Oreochromis niloticus: one gene and its partner. The protein of the gene in region 1 purifies or fractionates together with the protein of each later gene. This does not show direct contact. Links are inferred from orthologs where the notes say so. Each region holds a gene or a part of one and is shown in the gene's direction. Other genes may lie near its edges.

What was found.
Region 2: the proteins of pop1 (region 1) and rpp38 purify together in Homo sapiens (affinity purification with mass spectrometry; 3 studies listed by BioGRID and IntAct, with this or other methods). This does not show direct contact. The link is inferred for Oreochromis niloticus from reciprocal best matches to the Homo sapiens genes POP1 and RPP38.

Annotation. Positions count from the first base shown.
Region 1 is NC_031976.2:6,409,598-6,417,740, reverse strand, and holds the start of pop1 (ribonucleases P/MRP protein subunit POP1), read left to right. Parts: upstream 1-4,890; 5' UTR 4,891-5,026; intron 5,027-5,222; 5' UTR 5,223-5,225; coding exon 5,226-5,352; intron 5,353-5,729; coding exon of another isoform or gene 5,730-5,732; exon of another isoform or gene 5,733-5,953; intron 5,954-7,361; coding exon 7,362-7,511; intron 7,512-7,650; coding exon 7,651-7,826; intron 7,827-7,955; coding exon 7,956-8,143. Other genes in the region: 2-iminobutanoate/2-iminopropanoate deaminase, read right to left, coding at 384-443, 550-605, 2,548-2,616, 2,726-2,780, 3,197-3,302, 4,534-4,610, 5,730-5,732. UniProt on the Homo sapiens protein: Component of ribonuclease P, a ribonucleoprotein complex that generates mature tRNA molecules by cleaving their 5'-ends. Also a component of the MRP ribonuclease complex, which cleaves pre-rRNA sequences.
Region 2 is NC_031976.2:20,280,172-20,288,522, reverse strand, and holds rpp38 (ribonuclease P protein subunit p38), read left to right. Parts: upstream 1-4,854; 5' UTR 4,855-5,002; intron 5,003-5,559; exon of another isoform or gene 5,560-5,647; intron 5,648-5,724; 5' UTR 5,725-5,737; coding exon 5,738-6,544; 3' UTR 6,545-7,450; downstream 7,451-8,351. Other genes in the region: peroxisomal carnitine O-octanoyltransferase, read right to left, coding at 2,938-3,000, 3,096-3,213, 3,983-3,994. UniProt on the Homo sapiens protein: Component of ribonuclease P, a ribonucleoprotein complex that generates mature tRNA molecules by cleaving their 5'-ends. Also a component of the MRP ribonuclease complex, which cleaves pre-rRNA sequences.

The DNA of each region.
Region 1 (8,143 bases):
TCAAGAAGCAATTAAGGAAAATTAAAACCTTTTATTATTCAGTTATGCTCGATCATCTATCACCTGGTACAAAGAGAGAGGATACACTGTCATGATGACAACACAGGACGGTAGTGTAATCCAATCCAACATCAAGCTTAGGTACTTCTCAGCTATTGTAAGTGAAATGTGAGCAGAGTGGATTTAAAATGCAGTGCTGTCTTCAAATACATCTCATCATTGTCAGTGAGGGAGGAGAAAGTGCTCCACACCTGTCTGCTAGGTGACCTGTGACATGTTAAAACAGCGCTAAATTGCTGATGATACTACACCTATAATTACATCAGTTTCACACTTTTCAATGGTTTTAGCTCTTTCTAGTTTTTGCTTGTTTAATGTACTTGTTAGGAAGTGCCGGTCAGAGGGCCCAAAACAGCAATTGCTTCAATTTCAACCAGTCCACCCTGGAGAAAGAGACAGCATCAGCACAGTGAGAATTGTGGTTTTCAGTTGGGTTCAAAGCACAAAAGAATAACTGGATAAAAAAAACGGTCTTTGTCAAGTACTCACTCGAGGGAGAGCAGCGACCTGATAGGCAGCCCTGGCTGGGAAGTTGGTGCTAAAGACTAAAGAAAGCAGCTGAGTTAGGCCACCAACACATTTACACATACAGACTTTCAATGACTCAGACACACATATAGAATCTACAGAAGCTTACAGGACTGCAAAGCAGCCAATTAACTACTGGTACCTGGCATTTATAGTGTTGCCCTTGTCTGACATGCCTTTATATCAACTGATAAAACAAGCAAGCTCTTTATAGTGACTGTCAGAGTAGGAGAAACACAGGTGTGCGAGTACACAAACTAGGGCTCTACTTCATCATCAGTCAGCTTGAACAAGCAGTTATTAGTCTCATTAGTTCCACTTTTGGATTTACATAGACCTGCACTGAATCAACAAGAGAACATTTATCTTTTAATGTGACAATTTTAATCTGCACAGCAATTTAACTCTGTTCACACATATTAGACACAATTTACATCAAATATATAAAATTCAGTGTATGATTATCATACAGTTTCACACAAATTTCATCAGTACAAAACACCACATTATTAGATGCACAATGGGAAATGTATTACAATGAAAAGCCGCAGCAATAATTAATACACATTAATGAGTCACTACAGACTGCACTTGATTGTGCTGGGCACTGCGCTACAAAGTTATCTCTGGTTATCTCTCTATTATCTGGATTCACTGAACCTAACACTTGTGATCACAAAGGTGGTTATCCACTCACTGAGTTAACCAATGGTTTCCTGATTGAGGTATGAGCGCATTCACACAAAAGTAAGAAATTAACAATAAAAAGTAAAAAATAAAGACTAAATACAAACTCCATCTGTACAATTTATATATTAATGCTTAAAGAACAAAATTGTAACATGTTTGTAGCCAAAAGGTTAAATTAAAAAAAATATCTGTATTTATTACTGATGCTATTAAAGACTTTAGACACTCCTATTCTCGGTGCACAGAGGTTTGAGGGATCTTCAAGTAATGGTGACGCTATTTTCTGGAGACTTGACTGGTCAGTAGGTGGTGATTTCATACCTGTTGACCTCTAATATGGAAGCACAAGTTACCATGGCGATGTACCCTGGTAAGAAGTGAACCACACTTGTAGTACAGAAAACTCGGGGTTAACCCCAAAGCTACCTGGATATGATGAGTTCCTGTTTTGTAGTACAGGCCTCGGCTCAGGCAGCAGAATTTATGCCTTTGTTGTTCTTGTCGGTTCATGTAACCGCAGCATAGCTGCACCCAACTTCAACCATAGCAAAAGCCTAATCAGCCAGAATAAAGTGAAAACACCTGTGAGGGGCCTTTAAAGACAGAGGTGGACTGAAAGAATAATCTGATTTTGACTGTACTGATGTAATCACTGATAATGGACTCAACGCAGAGTGCATCAACCTGGGTGCTTGGATCAGTTAATTGTAGGAGCAATACCTGAATTAACTGGCATTAGAAAAATGTGTAGTTATCTTTTCTACCATACTACTTAAACAATGAAATGGATATGGGGGCTTTGTGAATAGACTTAAAGTTTTTTATTTAATCTATGGAATGTCAGATGTGGCAGTCTGTCGTCTGACATTTAGATTAAGATTAAGATCTGTTGGTGGGGAAAGCTCAGGTTTCACTCTGCTAAGTGACTCAGCAAATGTCAGCGTTCCCTGTGAGTGTTTGGACTCTGCCCCTGTGTTTCTGAATATTTATTTCATAATTCAACTTGCTCTGGAGTTTCCACAGCATATTTAGAATATGAAGAGGCAAATTCAAGCACCGGTTGATTTATTGTAAAGGCCTTCTGGGTGAATACATTACTGGAAAAATAAAGAGTCTATAAAATCTGCTTGTTATGCAGCAGCGCTGTATGTCGTCTGGACTGTGCTGACACCTGGTGGCTAACGTTGTATTGCAAAATGAAGGCCAACAGCAGCAGATAACTCCAAACACATACTGATACACATTAATAACTAAATCATTGATACTCACATTGTTTGTACACGTCATTGACACTGGTGAAGTCGTTCATATCGGCTAAGAGCACTGTGGTTTTGACAACTTCAGGAAATAACAAGAAAAGAAAGAAAATAGTGCATGATCAGGTCTGTGGTTGAAAAGTTGAAAGAATTCTTCTGTGCACATGCAAAGAAAGGCAAGGCTCTCTCACCATTGGTGTAACCACACCCAGCAGCCCTGAGTATTTCACCCATATTCACCAGAGCCTGAAGAAACAGAAGTCATGTACATGATTGTGCAAAAGTAATTCTCACTTTGTGATGACTTTCATATCCTCATTCATCCTGCAGGAAGGATGCATTTGACCAGTCTTAAATTTATTCTGCAGCATTACAGAGAATTAAGGAATTGGCCCCCTGCAGGAAAACTGGTGGGTTTTTTCAAAAGGCACTATTTTTAAAAGCATTGTCACTAGATTTTCTTTTAAATAATGGACTGCATGTATTCACACTGTAGCAGTCTCTTAATTGTTTGGTTGTGAGCTCAACTCCATTGCAATTATCTCAGCAGTTAGGAATTAGGAACATCTACTGATGTCTGGATCGCTTTCAAGTGTCGCTGTACTCCATGTTTATGAATGAATGAAGGAATGAATCAGTGATGATGGGGATTCCAGTGTCACCTGTCTGGTTTGAGCCTGAACACCACCTTCCACCAGCTGTCCACTGGCAGGGTCCATTCCCAGCTGTCCTGAAATATACATGGTTCGATCCACCACCACTGCTTGGCTGGAAAACACACACAAACACGCACGGACAAAGGCTTAGCTACTCTGGGTTTATTTCGTTCAGAGTGTTAAATCTTATTGTCCTTTCTGGTGATCTTTGCTAAATAAAGATTTACTAATAATGAAGGAAGTGAGGTTAAAAAAGTTGTATGTTTGCTTGACTATTCCGTCACTTATCTCTCCATGTGTAGGTTTTTAACTGAGGGTTATTGTTTTTTTTTCAAATATTTCTTTTAAATAAGAGATTCACAAAATTGCATTTATGTCCCTTTCTGTCTTTTAATAATAAATACACAGTTTCTTTTCTCGATAAGGGGAACACTCTCTTTATACCTGTGAGGAGTCTTGAAGTCATTTTTCTGTGCCCCTATTAAACATATATGTGGGACTGCTTACCTGCATTTGTACAAGAACTCTAAAATTAGAAACATCTTGTCTCAGAGTGATGCTGAAAAACTAATTCATGCATTTATTTCTTCTAGGCGGGACTATTGTAACTCATTATTATCAGGATGTCCTAAAAACTACCTAAAAAGCCTTCAGTTGATCATAGTATCAAAGTACCATATCACCCCAGTAAAGCACTACTGGTATAACTGTTTCCTACGATATTTCAAAGCAGAATGGGAAGCAGAGGTTTCAGCTTCCAGGCCCTTCTTCTGTGGAACCAGCTCTCTATGCAGATGTGAGTGACAGAAACCCTCTGTGCTTTTAGGATTAGGCTTAAACTTCAGTTAGAGCTGGATCAGGAGGGTCGTCTGATTGTTGGGGTCTTCACTGTATTATTTTAGGCTCTTTACCAAACAATATAAAAAAAAACTCGAGGCGACTGGTGTCGTGACTTGACGTCATATAAATAAAATTGAATTAAATTAAATTAATTGCAGACTAAAGTATTGAAAAACCGCGGGCACAGTTTGCTGTTTATCTTCATTGTTTAACATTTTAGTGGTGTGTGTAGAGTTTAAAGTGCAACATCCAAAAGTCTGAACTTTGCTCCCAAAAGCTCTGAGGGCATATGCTATCCCACCTCTCCCAGCAGTAATCTTATGGACGAAACAGTGAACTCAGTATCGCTGTATTACCCGATTAAGCAAAAAAGTCGTGGTCTGTCATCAGTGAATTGGCAGTCAGTGCTATTAACAGTGCAAATGTAATGTAGGTTGGTGCTGCGGCAGGTGTGTGCCAGCTGTAACTTTAACCTTAGGGCAATGATTCAAAGCTCTTCTCACCTGTACGGACCGATAGCAGCAGGAGCTTTAGCTGTGCTGATAATCCTCCTGATTAGTGCAGCCATTTCACTGGAAATCTATCGGCCCAAGTGAAAAAAGTAAGTTGTACAACAGAAGGCTGCAAGCAGAAAACGCGCTGATGTCAGAAGGACGTCAGAGCTACTTTACCGTAAAAGACATATTACATGCGCAAACACGTTTCCCTTTACACATTTTAGTTCCAAAACTGGTCACCTCAGACATTTTACAACTCAAGCAAGAGACAATAGTGACAACATATCATATAATCTTAAGAAAACGTACCTTGGTTTTTATTGGATTTTTTTTGTTGACGCGCTAATACTCTACAAAGCCCCCTGAACACGTCATATCCGGAAGCAAACAAGACCAGCACCAGCATGAGGAAACCTCACATGGTAGCTAAACGTAAAACTAGAGGGTCCCTGCGGCTGGAACAGCGTTTCTGACACACATCACGCTGGGGAACCTTGAGGTAACCTTATGAAGTGTAATTCCTCTGGACGTTTGGTATAGAAATGTTTTAGCTTTGGTTTTGTTAGTTAAAACAACTCCCCAACTTTACGCCAGGTAACGTTGCTAGCAAGCTGGCGTTTTAGCTCAGCATTCAACTGTTTGGGTTATAAGCTGCTCGCATAGCGAGGTCTCAAGCGTGTTATTGTATCTTACAGAAAATGTCTGCGGCTAAAGTCAAAATGCGGGAGAAGAAGATGAGAAATCAGCCCGCCAGTGTGCAGTATCCATCTTCTTCATCTAACGTGGAGAGCAGCACACAGAATGGAGCAGACGCCCCTGGCACCGGTACTCAGCCTTCTCTGGTTATTTCACGTACCTATTACATATTAAACTGGAAGAAGGACCAGCGAGTCCCCTACAGTAATGCAGAACAAAGCGCACATATGTTTTTCTTCCAGTCTTCCACGCATGAAATGGATTCTTGTATAAAAAGTTACTGCCAAAATGGTTAAACCGGCAGATAATATAAACCACATAAGCAGAATAAAGCCAAGGTGAACTGAACAGATTTGCTCTCCTTGGACTGTATCATACATACTTGAAAGATAAGGTCATACATGACTGTATCTGATATAGCTATACATTAAATATCAAACACAACCGAACATTCTTCCTATTTAAGTATATGGATATATGTCATATCTCATATTTCTGCTACTTGCCATGCAGTGCGTCCAGAAAGTATTCACAGTGTGTCACTTGTTCCACGTGTTGTCATGGAAGACTCACAAAAACATGTTAGTTGTACCTTATTCCAAAATGGACTAAATTCTACATGAAAGATCTGATAATGACAAAGTGAAGAAGCTTGCCTGAAATTCTTGCAAATTTACTAAAGACAAAGGTATAACTTGTAGATGAGTATTCACGGCCTTTGCCATGACGCACAGATTCAAGCGCAAGTGGATCCTGTTTTAACTGATCGACTGTTTTCATAGCTGATTGGAGCCCACCTGTGGTAAATTCACCACTCATCACCTGGCCAGTACCATCCCGACAGTGGAGCATGGTGTTGGCAGCATCATGCTGAGGGATGTTTGTACATGTGCAGCAGCGTACAGAGACATCCTTTATGCTAACCTGCTCCAGAGCGCTCTGAGCCTCAGACTGGGTTGAAGGTTCATCTTCCAACGGCACAACAACCCTAAGCACACATCCAAGATAACAAACATAACTGATGATCCCCATCCAGCCTGATGGAGCTTGGGGGTCTGCAAAAAAGAATAAGAGAAACTGCCCAAAAATAGGTGTGCAGAGCTCATACCCAAAAAGACTTGAGGCTGTAATTGCAGCCAAAGGTGTTTCAACAAAGTCCTGAGCAAAGGCTCTCAGTCATCCAGATCATCGTAGTCTAAGGAGCCTGGAAAGAAAAGCGTCTGGACTTCTTTAAGTTTCTTGAAGATGTTTCATCCGAGAAGCTTTTTCAGTTCTAGGGTCAAATGGTGGAGAGTCCCAGATTTTAAGCCCTATGGGAGTGTCCCCCAAGAGGGTCATGGACCCCCTATTAATCCTTTACGTAATCACATGAGCCAAGGTGTGAAAACGGGTGTGGGTCAGAATCAGCCAAGGTTCGGGTGAACCCACTGTGAAACCTAGCCCCACCCTGTCATGTGACTTACTGAGGTCAGATGGCCAAGGATGTGAGTGGGCATTAAGGTGTCTGGGAAGGGATCTCAAAACTGGATTATAGATGGCAGACAGTTGGTGTCGTAAGGCACCGCCTCTGTTCAAAGAACATCTAGAGGGCATTCCAGGCATCTAGAGGACCCCCCTGTCCATGGTCACACTTAATTTGGGACAAATCGGAGCATTTATTGTGAAATAACCTGAGTTCAGGTCTAGCAGCACCTGTTGAACTTAGCTTTTTCCAACTGACATTAATAATTTTATGCAAGAATTTATTTCATGTGTAAGAGACCTTAGAGAAAACGATAATTGTTGCTTTGTTTTGTTGCACTTCTGGTAGGTGTATCTCAAAGTTTTGTGAGTCTTTCCTCTAGACTGTCTGTCACTTGGTTCTTATGATTTTTTTTTTTTTTTTTTTTTAAACCCTCCAAATTTTTTTCTTTCTAGTTCCTCATCTTCCTCTGTCATGTGCTGTTCATACAGTGAATATAGGGAACATATTTTTTCCAAGGGAGGAATCCCTTCTCATTAAGGTTGTTTCTATGATGAGATTCATGTGAAAAAGGAATAAACAAGCGGACAAAGATGTTATATGCCTTATTAAGTTGGGCGAGTTTACTCACATTTGTAGAGGCAGACCACACATGACTCACTCTCACTTTTGACAGGAGAAAATGCTGATCCTCTCAAAGGTGGTCTTTCGGAGGTGCACCCCTCTACAGAAAGGAAGAAGAAAACTCCCCACCAGAGCGGATGGGTCCGTGGACATCATAAAGATGGTGGTGGCTACACCAAGGAGATGCCCAAATACATCACTGGTAAAATCTCAACATTTTTAACATATTAAGTTTAATTCAGAGCATAGACAGTCATGAAAGAAATGAATTGTAAAGGTATTCATGAACAGTTACAGTCCAGTGAATGACTTCCATTTCCATCTTTACCTTCCTCACTCAGCTGGAGCTTTTGCAAGGGCCAGGGCTGCAGAGGTGAGCGCCATGTTGAAAGCTGTCAGAAAGACCACAAGCAGCAGCCATGTGTTTGAAGCTCTGCCCAAACACATGAGGAGACGAGCCATGAGCCACAACACCAAGCGGCTTCCTCACAGACTGAGAGAGGTGGCCAACAGAATGGTAAATTTCTGGACGTATTTTATTTTTAGCACTTTGTCTCACAAACACCTCCGTACCCTTGTTTTATATACAAAGTCCCCCACTCTGAGTACCTGGGACATGTCCACTCACTTTTCCTTCCTCTATCAGCGGGAGAAGAGCCTCCAGGCTGGCTCAAAAAAGAAGAAGGAGCCGGCAAAGAGCAAGAGCCGCAAGGCCCGGCGGCGCCATGGAAACCTGCTGTTGGAGTTCAACCGCCGTCAGCGGAAGAACATTTGGCTGGAAACGCACATTTGGCACGCCAAGCGCTTCCACATGGTTAAAAAGTGGGGTTACTG
Region 2 (8,351 bases), about 14 Mb from region 1:
TGTGATGCTGTTATGTTGACATATTTTAAAACATTTCCAAAAAAGATGCCGGCAGCGGTCAGGACACCAGCAAAACAAAAACTAGAGAGAAACCAGTAAGGAGGATGAGGAGAGAGCAACCATCTGTGTCCACCACCTTCAAAACCATGAACTGTGGTGTTGCCTCTCCAGTGCACCTTTTGTCCACTTAGGTTTGCACCAAAGCCGGTGTTGGTATTCTATTCCATGTTTGGATCGAAGTTTAGTTCCAGCTAAGACAACTCTTTTAAGTATTAATAACTGTATGTCAATCAAAACTTCCCGTAATCGTTTGCACTGACCACAGTCGGGCCTCTTCACGACTTTAACACAAGTGATGAGGAATAAAACCTAAAATCCTTTCTCCATGTAAAGATTTTATGCAGGTTTTTTTTTCTCATTTTGTTCATCACCGTTTATCAATCCTTAACTGGCAAGCATCTCTTATGCATTAACATAAGAGGGACGTAACTGATGCCAACATTTAAAGCGATGGCAAAGAAAAATCAACCTCTCAATAAAAACAAGCACAAATGAAAGAAAGGAAACAGTGCAGAAAAAGGTTTAATCTTCAAAACGTGTTTGTTCGCATTTGCCAACATTTAAATTGTCCTGTTTTGATTCAAGCTACAAATCTAAGTCCAGTATGCAGTACATATAGAAAGATTAATATGTTAAAGACTGCATAGATATCATTAAAATGCATAAATCATTTGAGCTATGTAATTTAAAAAATCAGGATAGAAAGACATTTTTTTAAAAATCACATTATTGTGCAGAATTATTGCCTCTGGAAGCAAAGCTGCTCTTTTAAGTAAAGAGCAGCTTTGATTTAGTAGTTTGAATTAGTAGTCTGTTTTCATCGCTGCTGCCTCTTCAGTTCATGGACGTCTCACACCCCGTACTTGCTGATGACTTCTTTAGCCTTTGCGATGTAGGCCGACATGGCGTCCTCCTTGGACATTCCTGAAAGAGTTCAAATTACGAGTGATTTGGACTTAAATAATAATGTCTTAAAGGAGTTTTCTCCTATTAGTATACATGCTTAGAGAGCCTTTCACCCATAGCACTGAAAAGCTGGTTAAACTATGGGAGAAATTCTCATGATGAAGATGCTTAGAAAAGATCAGGTCTTTTTATTGGTAATAAATCTAAAAAAAAAAAAAAAGTATTTCCCCTGGCAGCACAGAACGCTTCCTTTAATGAGCTCAACAGGTTCCGATAAATCACCACCATGGAAGCTGGCATCTGGGTTGTGTTTTTGTTATGGTAACGTGGGCGATAGTAGCTCAAGAGTTGGCAGTTCGTCTTGTAATCGGAAGGTTGCCGGTTTGAGCCCCGGCTCGTACAGTCTCGGTCGTTGTGTCCTTGGGCAAGACACTTCACCCACTGCCTACTGGTGGTAGTCAGAGGGCCCGGTGGCGCCAGTGTCCAGCAGCCTCGCCTCTGTCAGTGCGCCCCAGGGCAGCTGTAGCTACAATTTAGCTTGCCATCACCAGTGTGTGAATGACTGAATGTAGTGTAAAGCGCTTTGGGGTCCTTAGGGATTAAGTAAAGCGCTATACAAATACAGGTCATTTACCATTTAAGTAAAGATATAAAACTTTAAAACACTGGATTTTTAAAAATCTGTATGTATATTTGTGCAGTGTTTTTGGGATCATTGTTGCCAGATTAGGTCACAGATTAGTTTTTTGGGGAATGACGTTGTTGGTGTAAAAATATGAAATTATTCCTGTCAAACTGTGTTATCTTTGGCCTTTTTCATAGCTTCAGCAAAAGACATGTGAACAAATGATGTGTTTGTGCAACAGGCTGCTAGTAACAAAGGGCCTAAAGATAACGATTAAAAATGGTACTTTGATCAGTTGTCTGTTATGTGTAGACGAAGCTCTCGTTCATTAGCTCGAGTTAGGTTACTATTTATTCCTTGAATGATTCAGTGTTAAATGGCTTAACAAATAAAACAGTTCCTCTGAAAATAGTCAGGTACAAGGACTGGACTGAAAATTAGCTAAAGGAGCAAACAATGTCCAAAGGCAAACTTTGAAAGACCTTCAGAAAGCCCGGAGAGCTATTGCTCAAGATCATTTACATTGTCTGAGTCATTGGAAGCAAAATACAAAGAAATGAGTGGTGCTCAACACCACCCTTTGACTCTTTGCACAAGTGTGATGTCACTAAAAATGAACCTATTACAACAAAATCTGCGTGTAGTCACCTTTTTCTCAAGTACTCAACACTAAACACAGACTTGCAGAAACAGCTCGTGTGCAGCTGAATCATGGAGTTGACCTGCAAATGCCTTAACTCAACATTTTTTGAGGGTAATTTTACTTTAAAAAATAAATTTAAAAAAATCAATGAATATGCGAGTAAAATTAAAAAGTTCCTGTGATGTTGGATGAAACTAAGTGGTGAAAATATTTGGATATTTTGACAATGACTAACTTCTAATTTCCTAAAAGTTACCTCCTGTGAGTCTTATTTGACACTGAACACACCTAATTTGGAGCAGATTCCTCCATGTTCGGAGTTGAGCTCATGCTCCACAAACATGTTTTACGAAATTCATTCTCATGATTTACACCTGTGGACTCAGCAGGTTTTGAGTACTAAATAGGCTACTCTGCAGGCAACCAGGAGGTGGAGCCCCACCAGTCTGCATGCATCCTTGCATCCAGTGAAGTGTAAATGTGTGTGTGTGGCTCGTAGTGTAAAAGAACCAGTTCTTTTACCTTATTTAGTACAGAAAAATACCAAAAACTGTTCCAGCTGTGAACTTGGGAAAAAATATCTGTCTCATATATCCTTGTATGATCTATAACCTGCTAATAAATCACTTTTCCAGCACCTTCAGTTAAAGTGTTTAGTTCTCATGGACAAATTTAACAATCACAAGCTTTCCTAACTCGTTACCTTTCCTCGACTCCCAGGCGTCCCACTTGGCCTTTCCTTTTAGGTCCAGCATTCCCGGTCTCTCTACAGTTGTGAAAGCACACAGAGAGGAGGAGAAAAAATCTGAACTTAGTGAACTCTTTATGGGAGTGATTCAGTTTCTCTGTAGCGGGTCCTACCAGTGTTAATGTCTCCAACAACCGCCTGTTTATAAAGGGCATACAGGAACAGCAGCTCCTCGTCTGTGGGCTTGGCCTTCACCTTCTTCACATCATCTGCTGCCTTGTCAAATTCTGCCTGCAGGTGACATGAACACTCTTTATGTTTACGATTAAATTTTCAGAAAACATAAGCAGTGTGTCTGTGATGGGAAAACACTGGACTGGAGGATTTCTTCTCTTTGCAATAAAGTCCAGCAGGAATGTAAAGTAATTACATCGAATACGAGAGTGTGCATATTAATGAGTTACAAGCACTGAATAAGAAATGTGAGTGTGGTATTCTAGGCACGGGGCAGTCCTGGGAAACTGATTGTTGCACAAGCTGGAGATAAACAATGGGCTTTTATATGAGACCAGAGCCTGTGTGCCTACTCAAATAATCTGCTTTTCAAAGGATCTGGGACACAGCAGAACTGATAATTATAGACCACAGGAACCATTTTTTATATGCACAAACACCTAAAAACCTTTTAACTCTTTACTGAGGTGACGCTGAAATATATAATGATCCAGCTCTGAATGCTGACGATTGGTCAAAAAGCGGATGTTTGTATATAGATCCAGTTTACCTCCACATGTTCTCATTTCTCACAGAGACAAACTCTAAATCTAGTGAATTTTCATCGGGAAATCTCTAAATTCTAAGAGCAGCATCAGGACCACTGAGCCGAGAGCATTAACGCGTTTAGGCACGACTTTCCTTCATCCACCCTTCACACGCCGTCAAAGATGGATGACTGCATACGGCCAGAAGACGGCATGCGCTGTTCGGTTCATCGCGACAATGTAGCATCTAATAAATAATAATAACAATAATAAAAGAGCAAAGAAACGCAGGATTTTACCTGGAGGGTCATCTTGGTAAAGGTAAAGGCTGGGAGCGCAGATGAATGTCCTGCCCTGAAGGGTTTTAAGCAGCAGTAATTGCAGCACAGCTGATCGATGCACTATTGAGAGTAAAGCAGAGGCTTGTAGGGGAGGGAGCAGACAGCTGCAGAGGTGCTGATTGGCTGCCTGTCACCCTCACTCACAGCGACACACACACGCACACGGACTTTAATAAAATGGGGAGATATAGTGGACTATGGCACCTAGTCCACTGACTACTGAGACTTTATGACGTGTCATTTGCAACAGTGTAATAAATTTAGGGAGATATAATCATATCAGTTCAGCAGGATTAATACAACCTCTACCACAATATGCTTCCTACACAGAACTCCGTGCAATAATATTATTTTAAAAATCTGCCCAAAATGCTGACTAATTTCATTACATATAAATTTTTGTATTATTATTATTAGATTTGATTTTTTGTTACACAAGTACAGTGTGAAGTGTTACCATTAATGGAGTCTGCTCAAATGAAATTTACTTGGTTCGTGCACATTCAGTTTATACGAAACACATTTCCCTTAACGATAAAGTATTTGAATAAATAAACCTTTGATTTTATATGTTTCATTTTTATTCATATTATTGCTTGGTGTTTATTGATCACCTTTGAGGGTATTTAAACTAATTGATTAATTGATTGAGAAAGGCCTCCTTTATATTTCCTGTGCTCGTGCACTTTTACTCCAGCTGATTCATGAAGGAGACTTCATGCACTTTTCCCTACATCAGACTCTACAGTGTCAGATAACAGTGTTCGCCGCCTCTTTAACTCCACTTTCACTGCCTTCGCTGACTCTTTGATGATTTGACTGTCATGTCGCCCTTTCACCGCTGTTCGGCGCTGTGGAGCTTTTTAAATAAAGTTATTTAAATTGAAACAAAATGGCAGCGCCCTGTGTGTCTCTCATGCAGCTGGGCTGAAGCTGTAAAGAAGACGAGGAGAAATGCGTTATCTGCTTTAACCACAGGTAACGGCGGCTGTGTTTGTTTTTAATGCTTCTGCAGAAGCGAAAGGTTTTTTATTAGAGCCGAAGAAGATCTGAAATTTAACGACATTTCCATGTGGGTTAAAGAAATGCGAAATAAAAACGTTGCTAATCGTATTAGTTTATAATGGCGTTGTTTGTTTGTTTAGTCTGATTTTTGGATACAAATTTTTAACAAATGTGATCTTGTTTTTCTCTATTTTATCCACTCATCTTAAAATGTCCTTTATTCCTCTTAGTCGTGTTTACTCTTTTCTGCTTTTACTTTTTTACCTTTTAAACAAACAAGGAAATAAAAAAAGATTCTGGTATGCGTTTTTTATATGTGAATAAGCTGTTTAACTCATCTTTGGCATTTCTGTGCTTTAATTTAACATCAGCAATGATTTACATTTACTGGCCAGTTCATTAGGTACATCTTCCTTGTGCTGGGTTGGACTCCCATTTGCCTTAAGAACTGCTTTTTTTTTCTTCATGAAAGATTCTTGGGGGATCAACATGTGATACGTGTTGACGATGTGAATCTCCTGTTCCACCAGATCACAAAGGTGCTCTATCTGATTGAGATCTGGTGATTGTGGAGGTTAGGTACAGTGAACTCATCTGATTGCCTTCACTACCAGTCAGGTGAACGGTGTACTTAATAAAGTGTCCAGTGATTGTATGCCAGACTCTAAAGCAGTTTTTCCTCTCTTTTCTTACAGTGTCGGTTGTTTTATGCTTCAAACAGTCATGGCAGCTCCCGGAAAGCCGACTAAAAAGGAAATCAAAAAGCAGACTCCAGCCAAGACCTCCTTCACCTCACCCTTTGCCTCAAAATGGAGCCCGCTCCCCCAAGAGGACATGCACTTCATCCTGAAAACTCTTAAGGACAAGTTGATCTCCATGGGTCTGGAAAAAAAAGAAGTGAAAGGGTTTCGCATATGGAGGAAAAAGAAAGGCAAAAAACCTGATGTCGCACCGGAACCTGTTCCCCAGGAGAGCGATTCCTCCAAAAACGGCTGGACAGATGTGGCAGCCAGACGGCAGCTGGCCATCGGCATCAACGAGGTGACCAAGGCTCTGGAGAGAAACGAACTCAGACTGCTGCTCGTGTGCAAGTCTGTCAAACCGAAACACATGACCAATCACCTGATCGCTCTGAGCGCCACCAGAGGAGTGCCGGCCTGCCAGGTGCCTCGCCTGAGCCAGAGCGTGTCGGAGCCGCTGGGGCTGAAAAGCGTGCTCGCCCTGGGGTTCAGACGGTGCTCCTCCAGTGACAATGGGGTGTTTACCGACACTGTCGATGCCATTAAGCCCAGAGTGCCTTCACTGGACATGGCATGGCTGCAAGGTGCTAAACCTGAAGAACCTGTTGCCATGGAGGAGGAGGAAGGTGGTGAAAGAAGGGGACAAAAAAGGAAACTGGAAAGTGAATATGAGGGGGTGTCAGAGTCTCCCTCCTCCTGCACTCTGCAGCCGCTCCAGGTGAAGAGAATCGTTGCTAACCCTGCAAAGAAGAAGAAAGGGAAGCCGAAGAAATAGCTGTAAAGTGAAAGAGAAACTTTAAGGACTGTTTGTTTAGCTCAGGAGTTTCCAGTGTTGTTTATTTTTGGGTTTTTGAACAGTGCTTGCAGCCTCAGTCTGGACATAACTTATGTGATTAGTTTATATAAAGAATTTCTGGAAGCTTAAAGAGAAAAAAAGGTTTTTGGGAACAAGGTTTAGACTTTTCTGCCAAGTATTTTTATCTGGGGAAGCCTCAGACCTTCAGGTTTGCATTCATTGTTTCAGCAGATTAGTAGCATTGCATATGGTTTCATGCATATTCATACAATTGAATATGATCTGACTGAAGTTTGAATTTCATTTTGTCCACAATTAAAGCCGGTCTGCACACATTGTTTTTTATAAAGGCAATTAAGTTTTTCCCGGTATTTTGATAGTGCTGTTTGTTTTAAATGGAGCTTGTAATATTTTACCCTCGAATGAAATATATTTCCTCTATATAATACAGAGGACTGCCATTAGACCACCAACATCTTGGAGCTGTTGTGCTGGATTGCTCAGGTACTAAGTAGAAAGTAGTAGTCTATTTATGTTGAAATGTAAGCAGAATTTTAGACCTCAGGTAGGCACAAATGAACCAACTTAATGATCATTTTCCAATTTTAATTTGCTGTAAATATCTATAGATGGACAAAGGTACTGGGAGATTACATCACTTGGTTGAATTGGGAATGTCTTGATCCCCTCCTGGGAGAGGGAGGTCTGAGTTCCTCTGCTTAGACTGCTGGTCCCGTGACCCGGATAAGCAGAAGATCGATGGCTGGAAGGGAAAGATTAAGATCAATAGAAAGATCCTTTATTAATCCTTTGCAGGAAATGACATTGCCTCTGCAGACACAGACATAACACCACACATCCCAAACAAAATATCAGCTCCATTACTTATTTCTGATAAAGTTAGTATGAATAAATAAAACTATCAATAACTAACATGGACTAACTACATGGATCTCTTCTCAAGTTTTTAGAGTCGCAGGAGAGCTGAACCTTATTCCAGCAGACATAGGGTGAGAGGCAGGGTATAGCAGCATGTCGCAGAGCTGAAACAGTGACAGTCATTTATACCTATGAGCAATTTAGAATCCCCAGTTAACCTAACCCCCACTAACTGCATGTCTTTGGACTGTGGGAGAAACCCGAGCACGCAGAGAGTACCCTGTGTTCTTGATAAAGAATTCCGAGTATCCATCTATCCATTCTCTTCTGCTTATCCTGTGTGAGGAAGCCAAAGTACCTGGAAGGAACACAGAAAAGATCCCAGCCTGATGGTGGAATTGAACTGAGGACCTTTTTGCTGTGAGGCAACAGTGCTAACCACCGTGCTGCCTGAATTACAAATACTTAAATTCAAAATATGTGCTGTGAAAAACTGTTTCGTGCAGTGCGTCACAAAGGAGTCATGACTCGTGTTCCTTTTTAAAGTGAGTTTATTCAATCAAATATCCATGCTGGTATAGCCGACGTGTGTTGAAACAGATTGTTATTTGCATGGGGTCATGTCTAAATGATGCTGGTACAAGTTCTTCAGCTTTTTCACAGCTTACAATGGAATTGAATAAAAATATTGTTCTTCAGTTAGAGAAAGCTTTATGACATTTCAAAAGTACACCCTCCCTCACCCCACCTCCAAACCTTAAAAAAACAAAACAAAAAACAACCTTTAAATAAGGCAGGTACTTCTGACCGAGTTCTCGCTAAAGGGCGTGGCTAGAAACATTGATGCTATAAATCAACGCAGCAGCGAAACAGACATGCTCAGAGTTCATTCAGACAGCTGCAAGCA